Linked DNA regions of Saccharomyces cerevisiae S288C. Changing the gene in region 1 together with any one later gene gives a genetic interaction. Each region holds a gene or a part of one and is shown in the gene's direction. Other genes may lie near its edges.

Region 1 (8,862 bases):
GTATTTGGCATACGTATTCAGTGATATTTTAATACCTCGCAACGCAATTTCCAGCGAGTTTACGTTTGAAGCAAACGTAACTCCCATGAGTTATACATAACGCCTGCTGCAGCTGAACCAGAACAATATACCGTGGTATTACCGTAAGCATTTGAAAACAATAATAAGTTTCCAAGTGCCGCTTTAGATCCAAAGTACAAGGACATATTGTGGAAGAGTAAGTTGAATATTTGAAAATGAGAGCTTTTTCAGCAGCCACCGTTAGGGCCACAACTAGGAAGTCGTTCATCCCAATGGCACCAAGAACTCCTTTTGTGACTCCATCATTTACAAAGAATGTAGGCTCAATGAGAAGAATGAGATTTTATTCTGATGAAGCCAAAAGTGAAGAATCCAAAGAAAACAATGAAGATTTGACTGAAGAGCAATCAGAAATCAAGAAATTAGAGAGCCAGTTAAGCGCGAAGACTAAAGAAGCTTCTGAACTCAAGGACAGATTATTAAGATCTGTGGCAGATTTCAGAAATTTACAACAAGTCACAAAGAAGGATATTCAGAAAGCTAAGGACTTTGCTTTACAGAAGTTTGCAAAGGATTTATTGGAATCTGTAGATAACTTTGGTCATGCTTTGAATGCTTTTAAAGAGGAAGACTTACAAAAGTCCAAGGAAATTAGTGATTTGTATACAGGGGTTAGAATGACAAGAGATGTTTTTGAAAACACCCTAAGAAAGCACGGTATTGAAAAATTAGACCCATTGGGAGAACCATTTGATCCAAATAAACACGAAGCAACGTTCGAGTTGCCACAACCTGATAAGGAACCGGGTACTGTTTTCCATGTACAACAATTAGGTTTCACCTTGAATGACAGAGTTATCAGACCAGCAAAAGTCGGAATTGTTAAGGGCGAAGAGAACTAACCTTGATGAAGAATTATTACTACCTACGACTTTATCTATATGTGCCTTTTTTCTTTCTCTGCCTGGTTTAGTTTTATTTACTACGTTTACTTGTATATATTTGTAAACTAATGAAAATATAAAGAAATAAATCTCAAAACATGCTTTTATACTGTAAAAACTGGTGTTATATGGGTTAATGAAAGGCATATAATATACAAGGGTGACAAATTTTTAGTACTTTCGTATACATTTTAAAGAAGACACTTTTGTTTCTTGAGGACTGGTCAATTCCATTTTTATTTTTTTGTAAACAATGACGGCGAGTTTCATTAGGAACGTGAGCAGAAAAATATTATCTGTTGTAAACAATCGCATCGGTGGGAGAGCATAAACTTCTACTGAAGATATACGGTTTGAAAAGACAATAACGCATTAGTTGTTTTTTTAGTACATATTTTTTTAGCAAGTTCACTGTTTATTGAGCTTACTGTGATTTTCAAGTAAAACACCTTTTATTTTCTCGAGGAAATCCAGCCACCTTTTCACAGGTAAAGTCATCGCATAATATTCTATCAGGACATTCCGTATACCTGAATATATATACATGGCTTCTGTACCTAAACGCCATACATACGGTGGCAACGTTGTCACTGATAGGGACCGTCATTCTCTTCAAAGAAACAATGAGATTTTGCATCCTATACATAAAAATCAGCGAAAACATGCTACCTTCGGACCATACATAATCGGTTCCACTTTGGGTGAGGGAGAATTTGGTAAAGTTAAGCTGGGTTGGACCAAGGCTTCCTCCTCGAACGAGGTTCCTAAGCAAGTGGCAATCAAATTAATTAGAAGAGATACAATCAAGAAAGATGCCGATAAAGAAATTAAAATATACCGCGAAATTAACGCACTGAAGCATTTAACTCATCCTAACATTATCTATTTAGAAGAGGTCCTGCAGAATTCGAAATACATTGGAATAGTGCTAGAGTTTGTATCTGGGGGAGAATTCTATAAGTATATTCAACGTAAGAGGAGATTAAAGGAATCTTCTGCATGCAGATTGTTTGCCCAATTAATTAGTGGGGTCAATTATATGCACTACAAAGGACTTGTTCATAGGGACTTAAAACTGGAAAATTTATTATTAGATAAGCACGAAAATTTAGTCATCACGGATTTTGGTTTTGTGAATGAATTTTTTGAAGATAACGAATTAATGAAAACTTCTTGTGGTTCGCCCTGTTATGCAGCACCAGAACTAGTTGTTAGTACCAAGGCATATGAAGCAAGAAAGGCAGATGTTTGGTCGTGTGGTGTTATTCTTTATGCAATGCTCGCTGGATATTTGCCGTGGGATGACGATCATGAAAATCCAACGGGTGACGATATTGCTAGACTGTACAAATACATCACGCAAACACCTCTTAAATTTCCCGAATATATAACCCCTATTCCAAGAGATTTGCTGAGGCGAATACTGGTACCCAATCCAAGAAGAAGAATAAACTTACAAACAATAAAAAGGCATGTGTGGTTGAAGCCTCATGAAGCGTTTTTGAGCATTCAGCCGAACTATTGGGATGAACACTTACAGAAGGAACGTCCGAAACCGCCAAACAAAGGTGACGTTGGTCGCCACTCAACTTATTCTTCATCAGCATCTTCGTACTCAAAAAGTAGGGATAGAAACTCTTTAATTATAGAGTCGACTCTAGAGCAACATCGAATGTCTCCACAGCTTGCGACCAGCAGACCAGCATCACCAACATTCTCTACTGGTTCCAAAGTGGTGTTAAACGATACGAAAAATGACATGAAAGAATCTAATATAAATGGCGAGCGTACTAGTGCATCATGCAGGTACACACGTGATTCGAAGGGCAACGGCCAGACCCAAATAGAACAAGTATCAGCTAGACACTCATCCAGAGGCAATAAGCACACATCGGTCGCGGGACTCGTAACAATCCCTGGCTCCCCCACAACTGCAAGAACAAGGAATGCACCATCATCAAAGCTTACTGAGCATGTAAAAGATTCTAGTCAGACAAGCTTTACTCAGGAGGAATTCCACCGTATTGGTAATTATCACGTGCCTCGCAGTAGACCTAGGCCAACTTCATATTATCCTGGACTCAGTCGTAACACCGCGGATAATAGTTTAGCGGATATTCCAGTAAATAAGTTGGGTTCGAATGGTAGGTTGACAGATGCCAAAGACCCGGTACCGTTGAACGCAATACACGATACCAACAAAGCTACAATCTCCAACAATTCCATTATGCTATTATCAGAAGGTCCGGCTGCAAAGACTTCCCCAGTAGATTACCATTATGCTATTGGCGACTTAAACCATGGTGACAAACCCATAACTGAGGTTATCGACAAAATTAATAAGGACCTTACTCATAAAGCAGCTGAAAATGGTTTTCCTCGAGAGAGCATCGACCCAGAGAGTACCTCAACGATATTAGTTACGAAAGAACCCACTAACTCCACCGATGAAGATCATGTAGAATCTCAGCTGGAGAATGTTGGCCACTCTTCTAATAAATCAGACGCTTCTTCTGATAAAGATAGTAAAAAGATCTACGAAAAAAAAAGGTTCAGCTTCATGTCGTTGTACTCATCCTTAAATGGTTCAAGATCCACTGTTGAATCTCGTACCTCAAAAGGGAATGCACCTCCTGTTTCATCTAGAAATCCATCAGGACAATCGAATAGAAGTAACATTAAAATAACTCAGCAGCAACCACGTAACCTTTCCGACAGAGTTCCAAATCCCGATAAGAAAATTAATGATAATAGAATAAGAGACAACGCACCTAGCTATGCTGAAAGCGAGAATCCGGGAAGGTCTGTACGGGCTTCTGTTATGGTGTCAACACTACGAGAAGAAAATCGATCGGAATTGTCGAATGAAGGGAATAATGTCGAGGCACAGACTTCAACAGCAAGAAAGGTTCTGAATTTTTTCAAAAGAAGGAGCATGAGGGTTTGAGTTTTCAGTACATAGTTATATCGACAATTACATTATATTATAGAGTGATAATATTATTTTCTTTTTGAATTTTAACAGTCTTTTTGATAGGACACCAAATATTGCTTAACGCACTGCATGTTCCTGGTAGAGAAAGAAGAAGAAAAGTCTTACTGTCACTACCTGCAGAAAAGATTGTATGAAACGAAATGGAGTAAGAACTCAAAATATAAACAAAAGAATAAGGATATATATATGAATGCTTATTTTTTATATTTTATACAATATTAATAACAATAATTATAATTTTGTTTTGGTTTAACTTAATTAAATGTTAGATGGGTACAAGAAAATTCTGACAGAGGCACCGAAAGTCTTGGCTGGCAAGTTGTTTCTAAAGGTAGCTCTAACGACACCAGAGTTACCGTGAGTTCTGGTGACTTTGCCCCACATAACTCTAATCTTGGAACCTCTGACTTCCTTGGAAGCTCTGTAAACGTAGGCGATACGCTTACCCAAATAGAATTGAGCTTCTTGTGGAGTGGCAACACCTTCAATCTTAATCAAAGAGACATTTGGGTTGTTAACTCTCTTAGATCTTTGGTAGGATAAGTGCTTACCTTTAACGTATACTATCAAAATAAAAGTAGAATAGAATTTGTCAATTCATAAATAAAGCTGTTAGTAAGGTTGTACTTTCATGAGCACGTTGCAGAGTGAAATAATTCGACATTTCATTGAGCCCATGATGGAAAGGGACGCAGTTATGTCAGAAGCGACCTCAAATGACATATATATACGCTATCTTAACATTTCTGGCACGCGCAGTTTCATGTAAAAATGCATTTCCTGGTGCCTCCTACTACTTGGTGGAATTTCATATCAGGTAGGTTATCTCCTTCTTCTTTCCCTAGAAGGTAAACTGATCATTTATAATACCTTTCTCTTTTGAATTTTTTTCCTATGAAACTTGTTCATTCTGTTCTTCTCATCGCAAAACCATGCACTATTTAATATATTCATACTCTTTAATAACAGTTGTCCAACAAGTGCGGGCCCCAACTATAACACATGTTTTATCGAATATCAATAATGTCTTCTAAGCTCGAATCAGCCTATTCCACGGCAACATTCATCATATAGTAATTTCATAACATACGTCTATGGGATTCAGCCATTTTATCTATGATTTATCTGGTTCTACTTTTGCAAAGGTTGTTTAAGCAAAGAAACTGTTTTCGGACCTTTATCTGCTATAATAATCGTTTTTTCAAAATCTGGTGCTAAGCGTAACTGGTGCAAGCCATAGGTAGCCTCACTACGGTACAGAGGTTACTTTGAAAGCAAGAACCCTTCACATGTCACACCTGCACGCAGAGGCATGGAGAGGCCAGCACAAACCACCATGGATGGGTAAAGTCATAGAAGGAAAAGCACATGGTACCCAGGCAGAGTTCCCCCCAGCAGTGACGCTCTGTTGCACTGGCCGGAAGAAGATGGTGTAAAGAGAAGCGGTCTCCAGGCAGAACAAATTCTGATTGCCCGTCTACCGGTAAAGCTTTCTCACAATATACCGTACGTTTCAAAAAAAATATTGATTCTTTTTTTATAAAAATATCAGTAGTATGTATGGGCTGATTGTATGGGTTTATACAGGCCGTCAAAATTTTTTCACCCCCCCATACCCCACATACCTTTTACTATTAACCCTGATTTTTTTTCTTTTCACATACAGCGCCTTAAGGCGAAGGCAAATCCTGAAAATTTTCTCATTTGCTTTCCCCCACCAGACATATATAAAGGCTTTGTATTCTGCTGTCAATTAGATTTAGTACATCTTTTCTCTTATGTTTTCTTCTTGTTTCTACTTAAAATCTGTGTCGACGTACTTCAGTATGTAATATACCCCAAACATTTTACCCACAAAAAACCAGGATTTGAAAACTATAGCATCTAAAAGTCTTAGGTACTAGAGTTTTCATTTCGGAGCAGGCTTTTTGAAAAATTTAATTCAACCATTGCAGCAGCTTTTGACTAACACATTCTACAGTAGGATCATTTCTATAGGAATCGTCACTCTTTGACTCTTCAAAAGAGCCACTGAATCCAACTTGGTTGATGAGTCCCATAACCTTTGTACCCCAGAGTGAGAAACCGAAATTGAATCTAAATTAGCTTGGTCCGCAATCCTTAGCGGTTCGGCCATCTATAATTTTGAATAAAAATTTTGCTTTGCCGTTGCATTTGTAGTTTTTTCCTTTGGAAGTAATTACAATATTTTATGGCGCGATGATCTTGACCCATCCTATGTACTTCTTTTTTGAAGGGATAGGGCTCTATGGGTGGGTACAAATGGCAGTCTGACAAGTTAACCACTTTTTTCCTTTTCTAAATTGTTTAAAACCAAAGGTTTGGTTTTCAGTTAAGAAATTGGATTAGTTGGTGTGTAAGTATAATTAAATGTAGTCTTGGTTAGCTTAATGTATAGGTTCTTGATAGTATGACTCCACCTAAAATTCGTCAAGAGCGACGGATGCGAAAACAAAAAAATCGCTTTGCATCCTTACGTGCGTGAGATGGCATCGCTGGCCAAAGGGAAACGTTTCATTATTTTCTGTAGTTAACATTATGCTTTGCATGATAATAAGAGAAATTGAAGAGCGCAACGAACTACGAGCATGGCTGGAGGAAAGATTCCTATTGTAGGAATTGTGGCATGTTTACAGCCGGAGATGGGGATAGGATTTCGTGGAGGTCTACCATGGAGGTTGCCCAGTGAAATGAAGTATTTCAGACAGGTCACTTCATTGACGAAAGATCCAAACAAAAAAAATGCTTTGATAATGGGAAGGAAGACATGGGAATCCATACCGCCCAAGTTTCGCCCACTGCCCAATAGAATGAATGTCATTATATCGAGAAGCTTCAAGGACGATTTTGTCCACGATAAAGAGAGATCAATAGTCCAAAGTAATTCATTGGCAAACGCAATAATGAACCTAGAAAGCAATTTTAAGGAGCATCTGGAAAGAATCTACGTGATTGGGGGTGGCGAAGTTTATAGTCAAATCTTCTCCATTACAGATCATTGGCTCATCACGAAAATAAATCCATTAGATAAAAACGCAACTCCTGCAATGGACACTTTCCTTGATGCGAAGAAATTGGAAGAAGTATTTAGCGAGCAAGATCCGGCCCAGCTGAAAGAATTTCTTCCCCCTAAAGTAGAGTTGCCCGAAACAGACTGTGATCAACGCTACTCGCTGGAAGAAAAAGGTTATTGCTTCGAATTCACTCTATACAATCGTAAATGAAACCTCTCCGCCCGTATATTTTTTTTAATATGTTAAATAGTGATAGAACTGATAAGCCTCATTTTCTTTTATTGGGCTCCAAGACGCGAACTGTTCGTAGGGTAACCGTTTGACACCTAAACGACCTTTCAGCCTCACCTGCAGTATTTCTTCAACAACGCCTGTCGCTATGTTAAATAATAGCAATCGTTTGTGATCACCATTGTCGAATTTGACGCGCTTAAACAAAAACCATTGTTTTGGCCTCGTTCCCTGCATTCAACAAAAGAGCAAGGTATGCCGTCAAACAGTCGTTAAAAGAGAAGGTTTATAAACTATCTTGTTTTGTACTTTGCTGTCCCGGATCCAGTTGGGTCTTCTTTTCAACCTGTCTGAGTCCGATCTTTCTTTCCCTACTTGAAGCTCCATATATCTAAGTCATCTAAGTGTATCCTGCTAGATTACAAACGAAAATGTCTCAACACGCAAGCTCATCTTCTTGGACTTCTTTTTTGAAATCGATAAGTTCGTTCAACGGAGATCTATCGTCTTTGTCTGCACCACCGTTTATTCTTTCTCCCACTTCCTTAACAGAGTTTTCTCAGTATTGGGCTGAACATCCAGCTTTATTTCTGGAGCCTTCGTTGATTGATGGTGAAAACTACAAAGATCACTGTCCCTTTGACCCAAATGTGGAATCAAAGGAAGTGGCGCAGATGTTGGCGGTTGTTAGGTGGTTTATTTCTACTTTGAGATCTCAATACTGCTCTAGAAGCGAATCGATGGGTTCTGAAAAGAAGCCTTTGAACCCATTCTTGGGTGAGGTATTTGTTGGAAAGTGGAAAAATGATGAGCATCCAGAGTTTGGTGAAACGGTTCTTTTAAGTGAGCAAGTTTCACATCATCCACCTATGACAGCATTTTCGATTTTTAATGAAAAAAATGATGTTTCTGTTCAAGGATACAATCAAATTAAAACTGGTTTTACCAAAACATTGACGCTAACGGTCAAACCATACGGGCATGTCATTTTGAAGATTAAAGATGAGACCTACCTGATTACAACCCCGCCTTTGCATATCGAAGGTATTTTAGTCGCTTCTCCATTTGTTGAATTAGGAGGCAGGTCATTCATACAGTCATCAAATGGTATGTTATGTGTTATAGAATTTTCAGGAAGGGGGTATTTCACAGGGAAGAAGAACTCCTTTAAGGCAAGAATTTACAGAAGCCCACAAGAGCATAGTCATAAAGAAAATGCGCTATACCTAATCTCTGGCCAATGGTCAGGTGTTTCAACAATTATAAAAAAAGACTCGCAAGTTTCACATCAGTTTTACGATTCATCGGAAACTCCTACTGAACATTTATTAGTTAAGCCAATCGAAGAACAACATCCTCTGGAAAGTAGGAGGGCATGGAAGGATGTGGCAGAAGCAATCAGACAAGGAAATATTAGTATGATAAAAAAGACTAAGGAAGAACTAGAAAATAAGCAAAGAGCCTTGAGAGAACAAGAACGCGTAAAAGGTGTGGAATGGCAAAGAAGATGGTTCAAACAAGTGGACTACATGAATGAAAATACATCAAATGATGTAGAGAAAGCAAGTGAAGATGATGCCTTTAGGAAATTGGCGTCCAAACTGCAGCTTTCTGTGAAAAATGTGCCAAGTGGGAC
Region 2 (8,647 bases), on another chromosome or scaffold:
GACACAAGAAATCCATGTACCAACTCTGGCAGATATGGAGCATTGGTTAGTGCAAAGAAGAAAAAAGAAACTAATGGATGAACTTAACCTTTAGCTATGGAAAATTATTCAAACATTTAGAAGAGGCACTATTTCGAATGACCATCACAAGCATTATAATCTTCAAACATGTCCGAGCTGCAGATATGAAGTAAAATAGTGATCGGGACTCATTTTTTTTTCTTCTATGATATCATATTGTCCCGTTCGTTATTAAATGTAATTCTTCCACCGTACTAGTTATCGAAGGCAAGATCTCCTTTTTACGCTTAGGTAGATTACATAGATTTCATAATGTACACCAATACAAATGTATCTTATACACTCGTCAAATCTTATATGAATCATGCAGGAGTAGCTCTCGTTTTCTTTTTACGAGCTACTTGAAAAAAAAAAACTAGCGAAAATCCTTTGCTTAGAAATCCAGATTTAAAACAAAACCGCCGAAAAGGGAAAGATTTTATGATAGGAAATACCTTAATAATTCTATATCATCCCGAGTCTTAGGAAAATGATTAGATCTGTGAGAAGGGTTTTCATTTACGTCTCAATATTCGTATTGATAATAGTTTTGAAAAGAACATTAAGTGGCACAGATCAAACGTCAATGAAACAACCAGTGGTGGTCATTGGCTCTGGTTTGGCAGGCTTAACCACAAGTAATCGTCTCATTAGTAAATACAGAATTCCTGTTGTGCTTTTGGATAAGGCGGCTTCTATTGGTGGGAATTCTATAAAGGCTTCTAGTGGTATTAATGGTGCTCACACAGACACTCAACAAAATTTAAAGGTAATGGACACTCCCGAATTGTTTTTGAAAGATACTTTGCATTCGGCTAAAGGCAGAGGGGTTCCATCACTGATGGATAAGTTGACTAAGGAATCCAAGAGTGCTATCAGGTGGTTGCAAACAGAATTCGATTTGAAATTAGACCTCCTTGCGCAATTGGGCGGTCACTCTGTTCCAAGGACCCATAGATCTTCTGGCAAATTACCACCAGGTTTTGAAATCGTGCAAGCGTTATCAAAAAAACTAAAGGATATCTCTTCCAAAGATTCCAATCTCGTGCAGATTATGCTAAACAGTGAAGTAGTGGATATCGAGCTTGATAATCAAGGTCATGTTACTGGTGTAGTATATATGGACGAGAACGGAAACCGTAAAATCATGAAGTCACACCATGTCGTGTTTTGCTCAGGTGGATTTGGTTACTCTAAGGAAATGTTGAAAGAGTACTCACCAAATTTGATTCACTTGCCAACTACTAATGGCAAACAGACTACAGGTGATGGTCAAAAAATCCTTTCAAAGTTGGGTGCCGAATTGATTGATATGGATCAAGTGCAGGTACACCCTACCGGCTTCATTGATCCAAATGACCGTGAAAATAACTGGAAGTTTTTGGCTGCAGAGGCATTGAGGGGTTTAGGCGGCATCTTATTGCATCCCACCACTGGAAGAAGGTTTACAAATGAATTGAGCACCAGAGATACAGTAACCATGGAAATACAGTCTAAATGTCCGAAAAATGATAATAGAGCACTTTTGGTAATGAGCGACAAAGTCTACGAGAACTATACGAATAACATAAACTTTTATATGTCCAAAAACTTAATCAAAAAAGTGTCAATCAACGATCTGATCCGACAATATGACCTACAAACTACAGCTTCTGAACTGGTAACTGAACTGAAGAGCTATTCCGATGTTAATACTAAGGATACGTTTGATAGGCCATTGATTATCAATGCCTTTGATAAAGATATTTCGACTGAATCAACTGTTTATGTTGGGGAAGTTACACCAGTTGTTCATTTCACAATGGGTGGTGTGAAAATTAATGAGAAATCTCAGGTAATTAAGAAAAATTCGGAAAGCGTTCTATCTAATGGGATATTTGCTGCTGGTGAAGTTTCGGGTGGTGTTCATGGAGCCAACAGATTGGGTGGATCTAGTTTGTTAGAGTGTGTTGTCTTTGGAAAGACAGCTGCGGATAACATAGCAAAATTGTACTGAGAATTTATAGGGAAATAAAAGATATTTTTGCAACGTACTTTACATTTCAATAATTAATGCGACATGATAGGATATACTGTTTGCTATTTCTTTCCGTAACGATATACGATTTTTTCTTTTCTTTGGAGTTCCAAATGAAGAATATATCTTGTTGGGAAAAGCTATAGTATTAGGTTTACAGAATATGGTAGAGGTTTCTCCCCGACGATATAGGAATCTACAAGAGAGAGCATGATTCTACACGATAATACTGCAATTTCTTCTTTGCGTTGAAGTGTCACCATTGCCTATCCTTTTACATTATCAATGTCAATGTTCCCTCTTCTAACAAACTGAATGACTTTTCTACACGATTCATATTATCTTCTTGCGCAGTAAATTATGTTAACGTAATAGTAGGGTCTCTTGTGCTTCATTATTTTGTAACTGTACACATAATTGACACGTTTAACAATTAGTGAGCGCAAGTGGTTTAGTGGTAAAATCCAACGTTGCCATCGTTGGGCCCCCGGTTCGATTCCGGGCTTGCGCAGTTTCTTTTCTTTTTTTCTGGAAAATAAGAAAACTTATTTATGGAAGCAAAAATGGAATAAAGGATTGGGACGAAGTTAGTGAAAAAAAACTGAAATAGTCCTAGAGTAACTCCGAAGTGTCTTTGTATAAGCTATTATCTAGAAATCACGAGAGGGGAAGAAATGTATCGCAGTAGAAACCGACCAAAAAGAGGTGGAGAAAATGAAGTTAAGGGACCAAATTCTGCCTTGACTCAATTTTTAAGAGAAGAAGGGATCAGTGCTGAAAATATCAAACAAAAATGGTACCAGCGACAGTCGAAGAAGCAAGAAGATGCAACAGACGAAAAAAAAGGTAAAGCGGAGGATGATAGCTTTACTGCCGAGATATCTCGAGTAGTTGAAGATGAAGAAATTGATGAAATTGGAACAGGTAGTGGTACCGAGACAGAAAGAGCTCAGGTTTCCTACGATGCCAGGATGAAATTAGTCCCTGCTGATAGTGATGAAGAAGAATATGAAACTAGCCACATTTCTGACACGCCAGTCAGTTTAAGTTCGGCTAATGACCGGGAATCATTGACTAAAAAAAGGCAAAATACTGCAAAAATTATCCAAAATCGTCGCAGAAAGCGTAAAAGAGCAGCTGACCTATTGGATAGACGCGTCAACAAAGTATCCAGCTTACAAAGTCTTTGTATTACGAAAATTAGTGAAAATATATCCAAGTGGCAAAAAGAGGCTGATGAATCATCAAAGTTGGTATTTAACAAATTGAGAGATGTCCTTGGTGGCGTATCAACCGCTAATTTGAATAATTTGGCAAAAGCACTATCGAAGAATAGGGCCCTGAATGATCATACTCTGCAACTTTTCTTGAAGACAGATCTAAAAAGGTTAACTTTCAGCGATTGTTCTAAAATTTCATTTGATGGTTACAAAACGCTAGCCATTTTTTCGCCACACCTAACCGAATTATCCCTACAAATGTGTGGGCAGTTGAACCATGAATCATTGCTTTACATTGCTGAAAAGCTTCCGAACTTGAAATCACTGAATTTAGATGGACCATTTCTGATCAACGAGGACACATGGGAGAAGTTCTTTGTAATAATGAAAGGTAGATTAGAAGAGTTCCACATTTCTAATACGCACCGCTTCACCGACAAATCATTATCTAATTTATTGATCAACTGCGGTTCTACCTTGGTATCCTTAGGGTTATCCAGACTAGATTCTATATCAAATTACGCTTTATTACCGCAGTACCTAGTCAACGACGAATTTCACAGTCTCTGTATTGAATATCCATTCAATGAAGAGGATGTTAACGATGAGATCATCATAAATCTGCTAGGTCAAATCGGGCGCACGTTACGTAAATTGGTTTTGAATGGCTGTATTGACTTGACAGATTCAATGATAATCAATGGTCTGACTGCATTCATTCCTGAGAAATGTCCATTGGAGGTATTGAGCTTGGAAGAATCAGATCAGATCACTACAGATTCACTGTCGTACTTTTTCAGCAAAGTAGAACTGAATAATTTGATTGAATGCAGCTTTAGAAGATGTCTACAATTGGGCGATATGGCAATTATAGAGCTATTGCTTAACGGAGCAAGAGATAGTCTGAGAAGCTTAAATCTCAATTCATTAAAAGAGCTAACTAAGGAGGCATTTGTGGCGTTAGCCTGTCCTAATCTGACGTATCTTGATCTTGGTTTTGTACGTTGTGTTGATGACTCGGTGATTCAAATGTTGGGTGAGCAAAATCCGAATTTAACTGTAATTGATGTTTTCGGAGACAATTTGGTTACTGAAAAGGCCACAATGAGGCCTGGACTTACGTTGATAGGGAGACAGAGTGACAGTATATAATAAAATAAAGACATATAAAACGTGTATTAGATAGAAAACGGAAAATTGACTAATGTTTTTATTCCTATTATACTCAGATCGTCAAATGTTGCCTTTATTTTCTATTGAAGGGATTTTATGGCATCTCGCGAATAATAAACAAACAATAATAGTAAAAAAAAAAGTGTAAACTTATGTATTCAGCGCAGATAAAAGGAAAAAAACGAGAAGTTTGACGTAAAGAAAAAAGTTCGAAAACTTTTGTAGCAGTTGAAAGTTTTGTATGCTATGTCAATTAGGCCTCTCACGTTAAACGGTTTAGATGAGCCAGAAACCTCTTTTGAAGAACTGAATACAACTCTACCTCGCTTTCAATCCCATGAAACATTAACTTTGGAAGAAAACGTGCCACCATTGAGTACATCAACTTATATACCGCCTCCATCCTCGGTAGGTACTTCTGACACTGGCACGGTATTTTCCAATAGTACCAGCGCGTTTTGGTCTAATAAGCAAGCAGACGATGATCAGGACATGGAGGTAGACCAGGATGATGAATTTCTAAATGACTTCCAGGAATTCCAAAATAAAAAGGATGATTTTGACGATGCTATTAAAACAAATTTTCATTTGAGAAATGGATGTCGAACTGGCCCTTTCAAAAACGACATTTTCGCAGAAGAGTTTGATAGAAAACTGAGTTTGGAAGATAAACCAAGGCTAAAGCAACCTAGATCAATGATGGAATTGAAACCAAAAAGAAAACTATCAAATAGCGTCACTTCAAGAAACTTAAGGTCTGGTAATTCTGTAAGATTTAAGAAATCTATGCCTAACTTAGCTTTAGTTAATCCAGCTATCAGAGAAGAAGAAGAGGACGAAGAACGAGAAAGAGAAGATCAACGAGAGTTTAATTACAAGATTGATAACGATACGCAGGACACAATTTTGGCGAAATTCAGTTCAGATGATGAAGGTGACTTTCTGACAGGATTTGAAGAATTAGAGGGTGAAGCAATTGATGAAACGATTTCTTCGAACGATAAAGAAAGTGCCGACCATCCGCGTTTCTTAAAGAAGTCATCCTCATCTTTGCCATTAAAAATATCACCTGCACAATATGATATAGTAAAGCATGACGAATTATTAACTCCAGGTCTTCATAGGCGACAACGAGATTGGAATACCCAGCAGGAACTGGACTCTTTTAAAGAAAAACGATCAGTAAGACACTGTTCTAATCAAAATGTACAACTCAATGGTCCAGCTAAAATCAAAACAATAAAACAGCAAATTGATCATAATACTCCAATGAAGAAAGGTTCTATGATATATAACCCGAAAACTATGAAGTGGGAAGGAAATGAAAACGTCTTAAGCAAATTTAGTGATGTAGACACGGCAAACAGGAAAGCTTTATTGATAAAAAACAAGCTACAACGAGATGCAGATTCTAAGAAGCAAAAATATTCTGATCTACAGCATGCAAGAGCCACTTCGAGAAATCAAAAGGTCATCGGGAACATGATTTTAGATGAACAAAATTTAAGATGGGTTAGTGTTTCAGAGGAAGAAGCAGACCCTTTTGCAGGCATTCCTGAGATAAACTTACCACCAGTTGGCAAAAGTATGAAAAAACGTAGCTCCTCACCATTTTTGCGTTCCAAAAGCCAAGTTAATACGCCATTTGTTTCAAATGACAATGATGGCGTTTATCAAAGTACGGCTGCTCAAGCAAGACTCCGTAAATACCATTCAATGAGGACACTTAACGGTACAACAGAAACTCCAGAAATAAGCTCTACTTTCCATTTGAGTTCAAGAGCATTGGAAAAATTTTACCACGAGGAGAACAGGTGGTGTAAAAAGTTAGCCTCATGGTTTATACCCCGAGATGAGACCATTATCAGTGTTGATGAGGAAACAATCATGGATGAAAGTACGGTCAATAGCAAGAGAAAATCCTATATGTATGAAATCAGGAACATGGTAATCAATTCGACAAAAGATTAGCCCTTTAGCCTTCTTATAACTGTTTCTTTACCGTTATCTTGAGTACATTCATTTCTCTTACATTCCAAAATTAGATAGAACCTTGAATCGTGTCAACTTTTCGCCGACATTTCGCGTCTGACAGAAAAAGAAATGTTGCAGAAAATTCGAATAGATGTTTCAAATGAAAATAGACCATGAGGGACACATTAACATTTCAAACAAAAGAGCCCTTGATGATTATTAAAACAGATCTTTATGGTTTGTTTAGCAAACACTTTGGTAATTTCATGAATATTTGACTAGCAGGAACAGAAAATCAAAAATGTTTAACCATGATTGGAAGTACTCCATTAATTCTAAGACTTTCGCCGATTTAAACATTGAATTATTTCGAAACCACAAGTTCAAAACTGTTTTAAATTACATAATAGGTGTAGTTGGGTGGAATGGATTAAAACTCGCCCTTTTTGTTTCTGACATTTACACATGTATCAAATTGCTGGCATTCAACTCCTGGTCAAACAACATCATCAAACCATACTTACCCTTTAAAATATCCAAATGGTTGTTTAGCGGTTGTATTTTAGCATCGATTGTGCTATTGATATGGGAGGCTATAGCGGGAATGAGGATTTACAAAACGGGAAATATCTCTTTGACTTATGTCAACAATTTTTCCAGAAACCTAAATTCAGTGCTCAATTATTCCAAGTTTTGTGTTTATAATATGATCGAACGAAAGGGTTTTCGACAGAAAATGACATTTTTTACTTTTTTTCAACTGAAAGATTGTATTAGATTAATCTTCACGGATACCCCAAGGCAAGTTATTAATGGTCTTACGCTGTGGTCAGTTCTCGTAACAGTAAATAAAAACGAGGATCTAGGCGATCTGGAATCATTTACCGGTTTGATCAACAAAATAAAGAACATTGGCCAGACCAATCATGAAGAAGCAGTGATATTGTCGCTGATGCTATTTTCCTTTATAATCTGGGCATTATTTGTCTTCAAGTTTCTGCTTGCTGTCATTTGCTCGATTTTTGTTTATTATAAAATAATCAATGATCAGGAATATAGCGGGTTGCGTGAGTACATTTGTGTTACCGTCAGCGAAAATGTTGATGAACTTGTTGAAAGACAAAGGAAAAAGGAAAATGATGACACGATTTATAAGACAGGTCTTCTCGAATCTCAGACTTTTGACGATTTTAAAGAAGTTGAAAATAAAATTGAAACATCTTTTAATGATACGTCATATGCTTCTAATAATGATTCTATGATTGAGCTAATAGAGAGAAGACCCGAATACAAAAGTCAGGATGTATGTGGGCCCATTCCCACAATGAAGAAAACGGAAACAATGGAATCGTTCGTTGACAATGGCAATCCACAATATACCACTAGATTCTCTGCGATTCTAGATTCACCATATATCAACAGCTATGAAAGTAATGATATAAAGAAAGCAAAAATACAAAGCAGAAGCGTAAATACTCCAAAATATGAGGATTTGTCTTCTTCTGACATTTTCAACAAAATACACTCTGCTGGACAATTAAAATCTACAACTTCTATGGAGTTTCACGGGCCATTAGATTCTATGCCAAATACAACAAACAACATCCGTAATTTTAATAGCAACAGTAGTAGACCTAGACCACCTCCTTTACAGACAAAAAGTTCGATTAATTCAAAAGCTGACTCGAATGATAATGGAAGGATTTATACACCAATGAAAGCGTACTTCAGGGAGCCTGATCTTCCGAGGAAGGGTTTGCTGGAAGATGAAGATCGTACATATAATTATACTTAATAGGCTGGCAAAAGCCCTTTGCATATTTCATGAATTAGATAGACGTGATTAGAAACAGCCGTTAGTATGTTTCTGATAAAAATAATACTTTTTTTGTAACACTATTTTCATATATTGGATTGATACCGGTTATAGCACAAACATAACAGCCATGAAAGTTTCTTTGAAAACCCCTTTTAACATTTGCTTGTAAGAGATAGGTTAATTTTTTATAGTTGCTGAGATTCCATTGTTGGTAAAGACTTAATATTAGGTATACAGAATATACTAGGAGTTCTCTCTGGGTATGTAGGAATCCACAAAAGGGTGTCACTAGTTCAACATAATAACATCTTTTTTTTATTCCTTCTTTGATATTTTGTCATATTATCCTATTATTTTATCAATCCTTGCATTTCAGCTTCCAAT
Region 3 (7,396 bases), on another chromosome or scaffold:
CTTCCCTTTTATTGTGACATGATAGACATAAATATGACGAATGCCTACGAATTGGAGTCATCAGTAGATAGAACCATAATGAATAAGATAAAAACGCAGGTATTTAGGGTGACAAAGAGATAATATATCTTCAGCAAATGAGTGAGACCAGCTCAAGTCGCAGGAGCGCGAGTAAAGACGCTGTCAAATCTTACTTCGCAGGCAAATACAATAAAGTGTTGGATTCTATACTGGAGGCAGAAGCAGCAATATCAAAATCGCCAACTGTAGCAGAAGATCTATCAGGAAGCTCCTCCAGCGGAAATTCTGAGATGAGCCATCCTTCGCTAACCGCCTCCTCCGCAACAAGCCAAGGCATTAGCAAAAAGGAACTACTCCAACAAATTGCTGGTTCATTATTCAGTACGTCCATTGAGCGCCTGAAGACTGCCCACTCATCAGAAGTATCAAGTACTCCGGAATATTCAGTAAATGATTCGTATGGAGAGCAAGAGTGCAGGGAGTGCGATGGTGTTTTCAAGTGTTCAGCGCACTTTGAGGGCGCGCCCGAATATTATGACGATGAAACCGAATCAGGGCCAGCTCTAGAACCTATGACTTCCAATAGTGAAAAAGATCCTTTTATCGATGTATTTTTGGATAAACTAATATCGAGGTTGGTCCCTGAAAAGCTACCAGAAAGAGAGCATTTTAGTAGCAAAACCACCATTGAGCATGATCTAGACACAGGAAGGGTTCCCGTGTTTTCAGCAACTACATTGGGTAGTAATTTCAAAAAATTGTCTAAGAAAATGGGCTCAATATTTGAACTCCAGGACTCCATAGTTCGACTGCTGACTTGGAGAAACCCTACCGGGACGGTGACGTCGTTAATATTATTCACTTTGATATGTTTTAATCCAATGTACTTGGTAATTTTGCCTATATTCCGCTTTGTCTATGGTATTGTAGTTCCTGGCTATGTGCGTAAACATCCTTTACAAAGGAGTATATATCCTCTGAAACGGAATCACGGATCATCATTGTTATATGATGTGTGCTATGAGGGAAAAAATGAGTACAGCTACGGTCAACAGTTTTTCTCCAAATCTTTTATGGACACTTTGGAATCAAGAAATCAAGAAATAGACGAAATATCAGAATTAGATAAAAGAACCGAAAACACAGGGGAATTGAAACAAGGAATGAAAGTACTAATTAATTTACGCGATATGCAAAACATGACCTCTGGTACCCTTCATGTTATTGAGGCAATCAATAGTTTTCTTCGTAAGTCTTCTAGTTTTCAAAACGAAGAGTGCTCCACTAAACGTTTTTTTACAGGATTTCTTTTGATTGTTTTCTTAAAAATATTATCACCATTTGTGAATTGGAGCTATGTATGTAGCATATTCGCCTGGTGCTTACTGATATATATGCATCCAAGAGCTCATCCAAAAATAATAAGTTTTTTCAAAACAGGAACAATGGGAAAAGAATACAAAAACTTGAAAAAAAGAGAACACCAGGCGCTTAACATGATATTCGATGAACAACCGGAAACTAAATTCATCGAGATTTTTGAAATATATAAAAAGGCCTTACTGCCGAACGACTGGAAGTTTTTCCGATATTCAAATAGAATTTTCGATCCTCAAGATCCGTATAGAAGAGCACAGCAATTCCCACCGGGAGTAGATTCTTTGGCTGATGTTATTCCCCCCACAGGCTGGTCATTTGATCCTAATTTTGAGTGGAAAATTGACAATGATGTGGATAGGTGGGTGGTAGAACGTGGGTTGAATCTGCCAATTACCGGCGAATTCTTATTTGATCCAATGTTCAAGAGGAGGAGACTGATACATCGTGTTATTAAGAATGCAACACCAGTAGCATAATGCACAATTGTTTTCCTTCACCTACAACCCCACCCCTCTTCTTGGGGAAATCATTGTATTACGTACTTTTTTCCTAAAGATATTAGAAAAAAAAATGTTATGTATCAATATTACTAGGTAAAATACAAAAATGCGCTTTTGAAGTATAAATAATACAGTTTTGTTTTAAGAAATGCTATATATGAATTAATAATAAATGAAACGAAAAAAAGCACTACTTGAGTTTTAATGTCGTAAAACTTGAGAAAATTCTAAAGTGTCAGAAAAAAAGTGATTTTTAAGAAGGGACACCTTCTAGCTCGGATTTAGAGATTTTATTGATAACTCTTCTCCAATTTTTTCTATTATCATAAATGGGGACCCTCAATACACTCAAGTAAACGACAATACACAGTAGGGCAAAGGAACAGACTGACGCAGGGACCATCATTGTTACGAAATTTCTCCTAGAAATGACTTTTTCATATGGGCAACTAGCATAAGGACCACCACTTACCCAACAATTGCTTACTGATATAGAGTTCAAATCTATCCATATTTGTGTGTCAGAGAAGGAGGAATTCCTCATATATGCAATAAACGATCTCTGCTCCAATGGGCTTCTAGGAATATTAAATGAATACTGATCGGGACATTTAGATCCCTGGTAACTATCAAAATCAAAGTACGTAGCCTTATTTGATCTCACCAACCATCGGAATGCCATATTTTCATATCTACAGAGCCCAATATTAGAATTGTAACAGTTACCTACTCGCCATGTTACTGTCTCATTGTTAGCAAAGTAGTACAAGAGAACGCAATTGTAAGCCTCTAAGGTCCCGGATGAGCTGCCAGATTTAGAAGTTGACTGAGTAACTGAAGGTTGGTCACTATCCCATGACCAAACGCTGCCTTCATGAATTATATCTGCTAACTGCGTCACATTATTGACGTACGCTGAATTGCTTATTATTGGTGATAAACCACACGAAATATACTCTTTGATGTCCACGGAATTGAACAGCGAATCTAAGAATCTCCAATGGATAGATGATAAATCAGTCAGACCCTCTACAGTAGAGGGGCAATCTAATGTAGAGTTCCCCTGCTCATAATGAAAGACGTCATGAGGAAAAATATATGGAGCAGTAGTTTCATTAAAAAAATCGGTCAGCTCACCTATAACCAGTCTCTTCTTTTGTTCATATAGCACAGAGCCCAGAGTGGGCCAACCGTCAATGGACGATTTTCCGTAGATGTTCCAGGTATTATTCTTTGCTCTATCACTTTGTAAATCCGTAGGCTTGTAAATGAAACTATTTCCTAAATTTTTGTCCAGTATATAAGTAGTGTTCAAAGTTTGGTTTTGGTGGCGGTATTCTGTGGAATCCAGTTCAGGAGCTGATATATTCAGCAACAGTACAATGATATTCGCATAGAGGTTGTTTTGTGTGCTGAAGATGAATGACTGTAAAGCAGTTAGAACGTCGCTAAATAACAATGTCGTATCTACCACTCTCAAATCATTATTATATTGTTCCAAGTCGAGGACAAAAGCATTTGCTTCGGAGGATAGCATAGATTTGAACAAAGTCAGTAATCTTGTATTATTACCTTCATTTACCATGCTAGTCTCATTGTTCAACAGAACCCGTCGTAGATTCAAACCAACATACGGCAGCTGGTCTATAGTTAAGTTTCCCATGACATCTCTTTGGGACCTAAAGGCCACCGTCATTTGAGGGGACATCGTCGGCCAGACAGATGCTGAAACGGTCTCATTCAGATCATCGCCAACTGTCGTAGTAGAGTCAACAGCAGTAACCCACGTTCGCAGTGAGGACCATATGATAAATAGGTATATGAGTATCCACATACCGTGTCTATAACGATGCGAATGCAAATGAACAAAAGAAAAAGGGAAGAATAGAATGGAGATAGTCTTTGAAAAAGCGAGGTTAAAAGCGACTAAAAAATACCAGCAAAAAGGTGACAAATAAAGTTAAACAGGGTGTATCTCACCGTGCAGCGAACACTTCAATGTGACTTGCTCAGCCAAAGACTCATCAACATTTATGGAAATTTCAATGATTCCCATTGTATTGCCTCTTCCCATTGTGGAAAAAAGAAAAATGCCAAAATTGCAAACCCTAATTTAAAAGGGTTACAGAAAAAAAAAAGCAGGTCTGAAATGCAGTTCGCCATGGTTAATATCTTTTCCTAATTTGGAAATATGTAAACAGGGCATCTTTCCTTTTTTTCTCCTAATGAAAATTGTAAGCAAAAGCATGAAACAATACTGCCACAAGAGGAGAATTCCTCCTTTTGAAGTCTAAAGCGCCATTTCAAACTAGTTTTTAGGAGGTCAGCCAAACGTTCATTCAGATTAGTTACTATCTTGGAATACTTCTAGTAGGAAAACAAAATAACATATACAGTAAGAACAATAGAAAACGTATTTATGTCCAACAAGGCAAGTGACCAATCAGCACGCACGGCTTCCATCCTCAAGACTGATATTACCAGAGAAAACACAATCACCAGAAGCAGCAGCAGCAACAACGACAACTACCATCACCACAATAACATCAATAATTACAATGAATCGGCGAAGACAGGAGAGGACGCCAATAAAGAGAATATACCTAATTTAGAGGAGGAGATTGCGGCCTTTCGAATTTTTAGGAAAAAAAGCACTTCAAACTTGAAGTCGTCACACACCACTAGCAATTTGGTAAAAAAGACAATGTTCAAAAGGGATCTTTTAAAACAGGATCCGAAGAGGAAACTCCAACTACAACAAAGATTTGCATCACCGACTGACAGGCTGGTATCACCATGCTCATTGAAATTGAATGAGCACAAAGTTAAGATGTTCGGAAAGAAAAAGAAAGTCAATCCTATGAAACTGAACTTTAAAGGCAACCTTGCTGCCGATTCAGAGGATGTAGAAATCGATGAAGATGAGGAGTATTTCTACTAAAAAAATCTGCCTTTCTAGTCATCCAAAAATAGCCAAATGCTACACTAAACCAATAAGCAAACGAGTACATAAAGAATAAGTAAATAATAATTCAACAATACCTGATTTTTTTTTTCTTACATTTTTTTTATTATTCATTAAAAGCAACCACCAAGCTTTCCAAATTATGAAACCTTGATAAAATGGCTTCAAAATCTTGATCTGGAATTCCGTTTTTTTTGAAGAGGTCGAAAATTATTTGCTTGATTAGAATTTCAAAATCAATAAACTCGTCCATATCCACGCTGTTCCGTGTCAAACGCTGGTTAGCTTTAAAAGCTAGAAAATATTGATTGTTTTCAACATATCGACTTCTGTCTACTGGTGTAACCTCTGTAATAAAGTAGCGGGCACCCGTTTTCGATGGTCCATTTATTAGATCTAGTGACCTCTCCAATAAGATATCCCAATAAGCTATTGAGAATTTCAAGCGCGTGAAATTCAAATTTATCATCAGAGAACGATGTGCGGGAACTCCAGGGCTTTTCTGTATTTTCTCATAGACATTATTTATCAGTAATTGCAGCTGTGTAACAATAAAATTGACGCCACTTTCTTCGTCTTGTAGCTCCTCGTTAAGCTGCGAAATTAACCTGCTCGTATTCACAGTAACACACTTAACCACAGAATGTTCTTCGACATTAGAAATCTCTTGTATTTTTTGTACATCCCAAAAGAATTCAGACATTTCTATTGAACCATTCCAGAAATGTTGTTCCAGAAGTTTATTCTCTTGAACCTTTACACTATTTCGTATTTTCTCGGTTTTAGCCGCCCACTTTTCACGCGTTAACAGGGTAAGCTATATCAGATGTGACTTTTCTTTTTCACTCATCTAATGTTGTTTTTCGCGTCACATTTTTTGCCAATAAATAAATACATCACAATGTTCTATATTGTATATTCAATGGAAGTCATTAGGTTATTGGGCAAGATTTCAAGGAGGTAGCATACTGGTAAATATACGATCCATGAGCACATCACTTCTGTTTGAGCAGCTAAATTTTTTAATTTTAGTGGCAGCAGAGGCTGAGCTTCCCATCGCTCACTCTACTAGAAAGCTTTTGATGGATAATTCATGCAATAACTGTCAAATATACGAGCTTTATAACGAAAATTTGAAAGATGTCAAGACGGATAAAGATTGGTTCATGAACAAATTCGGCCCGCAAACAGTACATTTTGTCATTAGTAATACAATCAACTTTCCTTTTTATAAGATAGTTTATTTCGATCTTTTGATCCCGGTGGTATCACACACTTGGGTCCAGGATTCGGTCAAGACGAAGAGACATTTGAGGACAAATATGTATTCACCTAACCCATTTCATTTGCTCCGAGACTGTCAAGTATATATTTCCAAAAGCTCGTTTAATAAGTGTGAATACATATTATACTCTGATTTGCTTCATTTATTAGGAGGCACTTTAGTCAATTACATCTCAAATAGAACGACGCATGTGATTGTTCAAAGTCCCCAGGACCCGATCATAGCAACGGTCAGTAAATTGACATTTGGCTCTTTTTCCTCTTCATCGACCAACAAGCACACCGAAAAGCCTTTGAGAGAGTGGAAATTTGTCTATCCAATATGGATATTATATCATTTCAAAATGGCGAAGCCCTTGAAGGGCGAGCTTGCTACTTTGTGTGAGCTTGATATGCAGGACACCAGTGAGGAACAGTTATTCGCAAAATGGGAAGAGGTTATTGGCGATAAGCAGACATCATCATCGCAGCTTACTCTTCATCCAAACAAAACTTTATTCAAAAATCACCACTTTGCTATCTCACCAGATTTAAACTTTTTCACACCTTTGTATTGGTTTTTGAAAGGATTTATCGAGGATTTGGACGGCAAAGTAACTCCGTTGAGTTTTTCTGACGATCTGAAGTCTGTTTACCAAGCTTTTCCTGATATTGACTGTTATATCGGCCACTCTGCTAACTCACCGATACTAGAAAAAACCAAAAGCATTAAACCGGAAATTCATGTTGGGAACGTAAGTTGGTTGTTTTATATGTTTGCGCTGCAAAAATTTACACCTGTATCGCAATGTAAACTTATTCACCAACCATTTCATGCGAAATTATTTACTTCTAAGGAATTAACAGTCGCGTACACTAATTATTTCGGCTCCCAAAGGTTTTATATTCAGAGGTTAGTAGAAATATTAGGAGGACTTAGCACACCTGAACTAACAAGAAAAAACACACACTTGATCACGAAGAGTACAATTGGCAAAAAATTCAAAGTCGCAAAAAAATGGTCACTGGACCCGCAAAATGCCATTATTGTGACAAATCATATGTGGTTAGAGCAATGTTATATGAATAATTCCAAGTTAAACCCCAAAGACAGTAGATTTCAAAATTTTAAATTGGATGATAACATGGGATGGAATATCGGCCAAATAGGAATGGATCATTCATCTCTCCCAACTCCAAAAAACCTATCGATGGTGACTTACGACACGCAATCCATATCAGAGAAGCCGCCTCCCACAAATGATCA
Region 4 (5,384 bases), on another chromosome or scaffold:
GTTCAAAAGAAACTGATCATGTCATCGATTAAAAGTAAAAGTATGCACATCAGCCTCGTGACAGATGAGGATCTCATGTCAAAAACCGCCAAGAAGCATGCATTATTGAATTTGAAACGTGGTAGATTATTAAGTATATGTCTATGTAATATTAAGTAAGACAAGGGCATTCACTTTACATGCAAATGCATTTGGAACCCTTGACCGAAAAAAAAAAAACAGGTTAACCGCAAAATACATGATCTTCCTTTATTAGAAGAACCGTTTGGCTTTAGTTAAAAATTGATGCTTTTCAGTGGAATGACGATCTTCGTTTACCTGACGCTCTTCATTTTCATCAACCTCATTTAGCAAGACTTCAGGGTCCACGTGCAAGTCTCGAATAACCTTTTCGGTCGCATCTTCCATATCCATCATACCATAAATTGCAATTGTGATAATACCAAGAATACCGGCAAAGCAGGAGAATGTCATGGCAATAATACCTTTTTTGGTAAAACCGGTAGGAATGAAGGCATGCTGAACATTTTCACCAGTTAAATCAGTTAAATCCAGTGTATTGGCAGCGGCGTTACCTTCAGTGGCCACAGAGCAACTCTGGCAAACTTCTAAGTGGTTTTCACTGAGTTGTTGAGAATGAGCATCTTGGATACCAAAAGGATCCTCCACGAGAACAAGACCCAAACCTTGCAACAAATGCCATTCGATATGACAATGGAAGAACCAAACACCTGGGTTATCGGCTTTAAACCTGATGACGAAATTGGATTGTGGTCTAACGTATAAAGTATCTCTTCTCATTGGGTATTCTGGGAAGGCAGGGTGGTTGTCCGGATCGAAACTGTGAGGAACTTCACCTAGGGCATCATCATATGTACGATCTCTCTGGATGGTTTGGAAAGCGTGACCATGTAAATGGAAAGGATGGGTACCTGTGTCCTGGTTATTTAGCACAATCTCCACGATTTCATCCTTCTCTAGGATGAAAGTGTGCGTGTTTGAACCGTAGATTTCGGAGTTGTTTGCTTGATCACCTGAAGACAAAACGGTCATCAAAGTAGGAACTTTTGGTGCAGTATAGGTGATATTATTGAAGAAGGCGTAATTCACACCGTTTTTCAAGTTATCCATAACAACGTCAACGGTAATCACATGATCTGGCTCGCCATAGATGGCTTCTTTCTCGTACGGTTGCAAGTAGAAATCGTCCAAGAAGTTATCAATTGAATCCACGTAATTTTGTGTGGGCAGCGCAGCGGTTTTGTTGTAGACCATATAAGAGGTTGCATTCAGCTGTAAATCACTTGGAATGACATCCAACATGGTGTCATCAAATTTCTGCATGATGGCGAAATTTTTGTCCGTGTCGTTTTTAGTGTGAACCAGGACTGTATATCTCTGAGCGACAGTGATGTAAAGCATATCCGTTACGTTCTTCTCGGTAGTGATACCGTCGATTTCGACCACGGTCATTTCGTGGTCCTCGATCCAAAAGTACTGCGAAACGAACCCACCCACGTTGACAATTCTCAAAAGATACGTCGTATCGGGCTGGACTTCCCATGTCAGATTCATCGTGTTGTTAACAATCAAGTTCTGTGGGATGGGCTCAGCACCTGTCGGATTATAAACACTCATGAACGACTTCGTCAAGTCCGTGACCAAGTCGTGGTACCACTCACTAAGCGATAAAGAAAGTTCCTCATCGTAATCGTAGGGGAAGCTATCATCCTTGATGATGAAAAGACCTTTCATCCCGTCTTCATATTGACCGTCCGTGTGTGAATGGTACCAGTAGGTGCCTACATTGTAGTCCACCGTGAAATTGTAAAGCATAGTACTGCCTGGCGCAATTGGACATTGCGTCAAGAAGGGCACACCGTCCATAGAGGCGGTTCCGTTTTGGAAGAGACCGTGGAAATGCATAGAAGTATTGGTGTTGTTCATTCCGTTGGTCAAGTAAATCTGCACACGGTCACCTTTGTTGACCGTTATATCTGGCCATGGGAACTGGCCATTACAGGTGATCACGGGACGGCTCTTTAGCCCATCAACGTTCCTGTAGTCCCAGCCAGTGGTCCAATTAAACGTGTGCGTCTCCGCTTGTGCTAGCGAGAGCATCGAGAAAAGCAAAACGGCTATAGAGAGCAAAGCGTTAGTCATCTAGTTCTAATTTTTTGCTACTCTTCCTTACACTGGGGTCCTCTTCGTTTCCTATGCCTATCCATCGCTTATAGAACAAGAGCTATAGGGCATGGCCTGCTTACATACATATATATATATATATATATATATATATAATCGCACTACATGCACGAGGCCTTGGCATACTCCCTCGAAGGATCGACTGTTTGAGTGCATCCTTCATTTTCTGTCGCAATTGGCGAGAATAAGAGCACCTGCAAATGGGTGCACTTTTGAAGATGGGCCTTGCCTGTTGGGCCTGCCTAAGTCAGCCTCGCCTAGCTCTAGGCGGAGGGTCTTTATCGGCGACTCAGCGTACTGTAGGGACCACCCCAGGCGCAACGGGCTGATTCGCACCCGGAAAGTAAAGCTTATTTCTGTCGGACGGAGAGTGTCCTTTTTCTCTCGCAGAAGACCATTTATTGGTCCTGAAACGGTATGAACATGTTATTATTCCTGTAACCGTGAAATAGGCAAGCCAAGGCATTATCGCAAAGAAGGCAGCACAGATTCTCGTATCTGTTATTCTTTTCTATTTTTCCTTTTTACAGCAGTAATGTCTCACACAGAAACACAGACTCAGCAGTCACACTTCGGTGTGGACTTCCTTATGGGCGGCGTTTCTGCTGCCATTGCGAAGACGGGTGCCGCTCCCATTGAACGGGTGAAACTGTTGATGCAGAATCAAGAAGAGATGCTTAAACAGGGCTCGTTGGATACACGGTACAAGGGAATTTTAGATTGCTTCAAGAGGACTGCGACTCATGAAGGTATTGTGTCGTTCTGGAGGGGTAACACCGCCAATGTTCTCCGGTATTTCCCCACGCAGGCGCTGAATTTTGCCTTCAAAGACAAAATTAAGTCGTTGTTGAGTTACGACAGAGAGCGCGATGGGTATGCCAAGTGGTTTGCTGGAAATCTTTTCTCTGGTGGAGCGGCTGGTGGTTTGTCGCTTCTATTTGTATATTCCTTGGACTACGCAAGGACGCGGCTTGCAGCGGATGCTAGGGGTTCTAAGTCAACCTCGCAAAGACAGTTTAATGGATTGCTAGACGTGTATAAGAAGACACTGAAAACGGACGGGTTGTTGGGTCTGTACCGTGGGTTTGTGCCCTCAGTTCTGGGTATCATTGTCTACAGAGGTCTGTACTTTGGCTTGTACGATTCTTTCAAGCCTGTGCTGTTGACGGGGGCTCTAGAGGGGTCCTTTGTTGCCTCTTTCCTATTAGGTTGGGTCATTACCATGGGTGCTTCCACTGCGTCGTATCCCTTGGATACGGTAAGAAGAAGGATGATGATGACTTCGGGCCAGACCATCAAGTACGACGGTGCTCTGGACTGTTTGAGAAAGATTGTTCAGAAAGAGGGCGCGTATTCCTTGTTCAAGGGCTGTGGTGCCAACATATTTAGAGGAGTCGCTGCAGCTGGTGTCATCTCATTGTACGATCAGTTGCAACTCATAATGTTTGGCAAAAAATTCAAGTGAAAAAAAAAGAAAACAACAAACGAATAAAATCTAAAAATTCTACATATTCTTGCTATTTATTTACATATTCATTCTTGCTACATACCTGTCTTATGCTATAATGACACTGGAGGTCTTCTTTCTTCTTTGAATTTATGTCCTGACAATTCAGTAAACGCCGTGCGGAAGGGAACCGTTTACGTACGCCAAGCTAAACATTGAAAAAAAAAAAAAAAAAAATGATAATAATAGTAATAATAGTAACGACGTAAAGGTAAAAGAAACAACAGACTTTTAAACTTGTTAACTTTTGCATGACCTCAATTGAAGATCTGATATCAAATCCTCCCCTGCTACTGCATTCCTCACTCTCTCAACTTCGCTACCTCATACTCAGTGAAGGGCTTCCCATATCTGAAGATAAACAGCAGCAGCGCACGCGATGTTACGTGTGGACGGTGCTCTCTCAAACTTCTATGGAGGCGTCTACACAACGGTACCTTGCGCTCTTGAAACTGGGCCCACCTTCCACAACCATTTACCAAAAAATCAAGAACGACACATCCAGAACTTTTCAGACGGATCCAAACTTTAGAAATAGAGTCTCAGAGGATGCCCTCATCCGGTGTCTGTCGTGCTTTGCTTGGCAAACACAACAAAGAAGACAAAAGACTCGTTTTGGTCGCATTCCTGTGAGCACATATGTGCAGGGCATGAACGTGTTATTAGCTCCTCTGCTTTACTCATGTCCTTCTGAACCTATGGCGTATCAACTTTTCACTAAGCTTTGTTATGAAATGATACCGACGTATCTAACTAAGAACCTAAACGGCGCCCAGAACGGCGCCAAACTACTAGATATTTCTCTCAGAATCATTGATCCAAAGCTGAGTAAATTTCTATCGGACAATTTACTTACAGCAGAGATTTATGGTATGCCTTCCATACTCACGTTATCCAGCTGCAATAAACCGCTTGATCAGGTCATTAAACTGTGGGATTTCATGTTTGCATATGGATTCCATATGAATATTCTCTTTGTGGTGGCATTCCTAGTTAAAATGAGATCCAAGGTTTTCAAATCGGATTCCCCTGTTAATTTACTACGACAGTTTCCGGATTTTGATGCTGACGAGATCATTCGGCTGGGCGTCGGGTTCATCGCTAAGATCCCTGCTCAAATTTATGACCTATTGGTAGACCACTTGACCGACCCAGACATATATATACCGTAAACTATGTGAAGAAATATTATATTTTATCGTTTAATTCTACAACGTTTATATGTCTGTATGTGTAAAAAAAAATAAAACGAAAAAAGCAGTGGGTAGATGAGAAAATTTACAGTAATTTAAGGTTATTATTCTATTATTGCACGAAATGAAAATGGCTCGTACGCATATCCTTCACCTTCAAAAAATTTGGACATTGCCTCCACCCAATGCAAACGTAGCGCATGCAACATTGCGGAAGTACCTTCCATGAAAACTAGGATACAAACGGTTAAAACAAACCACATAGCAAATAAGAAAACCACCTTCATGACAGCCAAAGGCGACCCTGAGTTTTTAGAACTGAAAGCGTTTGAAATTGTCATATCCCATAAAACACTAGATAATTGCGCATGCGCCAACGATAGTGCCCAAAGACGTAGATATGATGCTGTATGAGAGATACAATTTAAACAGAATTCAATAGTATGGATTACCTGATGAATCATGACATCGCCGAAATT

What was found.
Region 2: of KIN4 (region 1) and BFA1, a mutation in one rescues a mutant of the other (synthetic rescue), as found in Saccharomyces cerevisiae (9 studies listed by BioGRID).
Region 3: of KIN4 (region 1) and SPO12, changing one suppresses a phenotype caused by changing the other (phenotypic suppression), as found in Saccharomyces cerevisiae (4 studies listed by BioGRID, with this or other methods).
Region 4: of KIN4 (region 1) and BUB2, a mutation in one rescues a mutant of the other (synthetic rescue), as found in Saccharomyces cerevisiae (9 studies listed by BioGRID, with this or other methods).

Annotation. Positions count from the first base shown.
Region 1 is NC_001147.6:774,337-783,198, forward strand, and holds KIN4 (putative serine/threonine protein kinase KIN4), read left to right. Parts: upstream 1-1,509; coding exon 1,510-3,912; downstream 3,913-8,862. Other genes in the region: mitochondrial nucleotide exchange factor MGE1, read left to right, coding at 237-923; 60S ribosomal protein eL33 RPL33B, read right to left, coding at 4,219-4,523, 5,051-5,069; IRC13 (Irc13p), read left to right, coding at 5,534-5,848; DFR1 (dihydrofolate reductase), read left to right, coding at 6,570-7,205; oxysterol-binding protein related protein HES1, read left to right, coding at 7,658-8,862. UniProt on the Saccharomyces cerevisiae protein: This protein is probably a serine/threonine protein kinase.
Region 2 is NC_001142.9:529,311-537,957, forward strand, and holds BFA1 (Bfa1p), read left to right. Parts: upstream 1-4,716; coding exon 4,717-6,441; downstream 6,442-8,647. Other genes in the region: ISY1 (Isy1p), read left to right, coding at 1-94; OSM1 (fumarate reductase), read left to right, coding at 551-2,056; UV-damaged DNA-binding protein RAD7, read left to right, coding at 2,752-4,449; KCH1 (Kch1p), read left to right, coding at 6,746-8,239. UniProt on the Saccharomyces cerevisiae protein: Part of a checkpoint which monitors spindle integrity and prevents premature exit from mitosis. This cell-cycle arrest depends upon inhibition of the G-protein TEM1 by the BFA1/BUB2 complex.
Region 3 is NC_001140.6:397,114-404,509, forward strand, and holds SPO12 (Spo12p), read left to right. Parts: upstream 1-4,320; coding exon 4,321-4,842; downstream 4,843-7,396. Other genes in the region: PEX28 (Pex28p), read left to right, coding at 138-1,877; MTC6 (Mtc6p), read right to left, coding at 2,155-3,735; SPO16 (Spo16p), read right to left, coding at 4,973-5,569; RTT107 (Rtt107p), read left to right, coding at 5,853-7,396. UniProt on the Saccharomyces cerevisiae protein: It is required for meiosis I chromosome division during sporulation. A component of the FEAR (CDC14 early anaphase release) network which promotes CDC14 release from the nucleolus during early anaphase.
Region 4 is NC_001145.3:385,601-390,984, reverse strand, and holds BUB2 (Bub2p), read left to right. Parts: upstream 1-3,963; coding exon 3,964-4,884; downstream 4,885-5,384. Other genes in the region: ferroxidase FET3, read right to left, coding at 253-2,163; ADP/ATP carrier protein AAC1, read left to right, coding at 2,741-3,670; STV1 (H(+)-transporting V0 sector ATPase subunit a), read right to left, coding at 5,010-5,384. UniProt on the Saccharomyces cerevisiae protein: Part of a checkpoint which monitors spindle integrity and prevents premature exit from mitosis. This cell-cycle arrest depends upon inhibition of the GTP-binding protein TEM1 by the BFA1/BUB2 complex.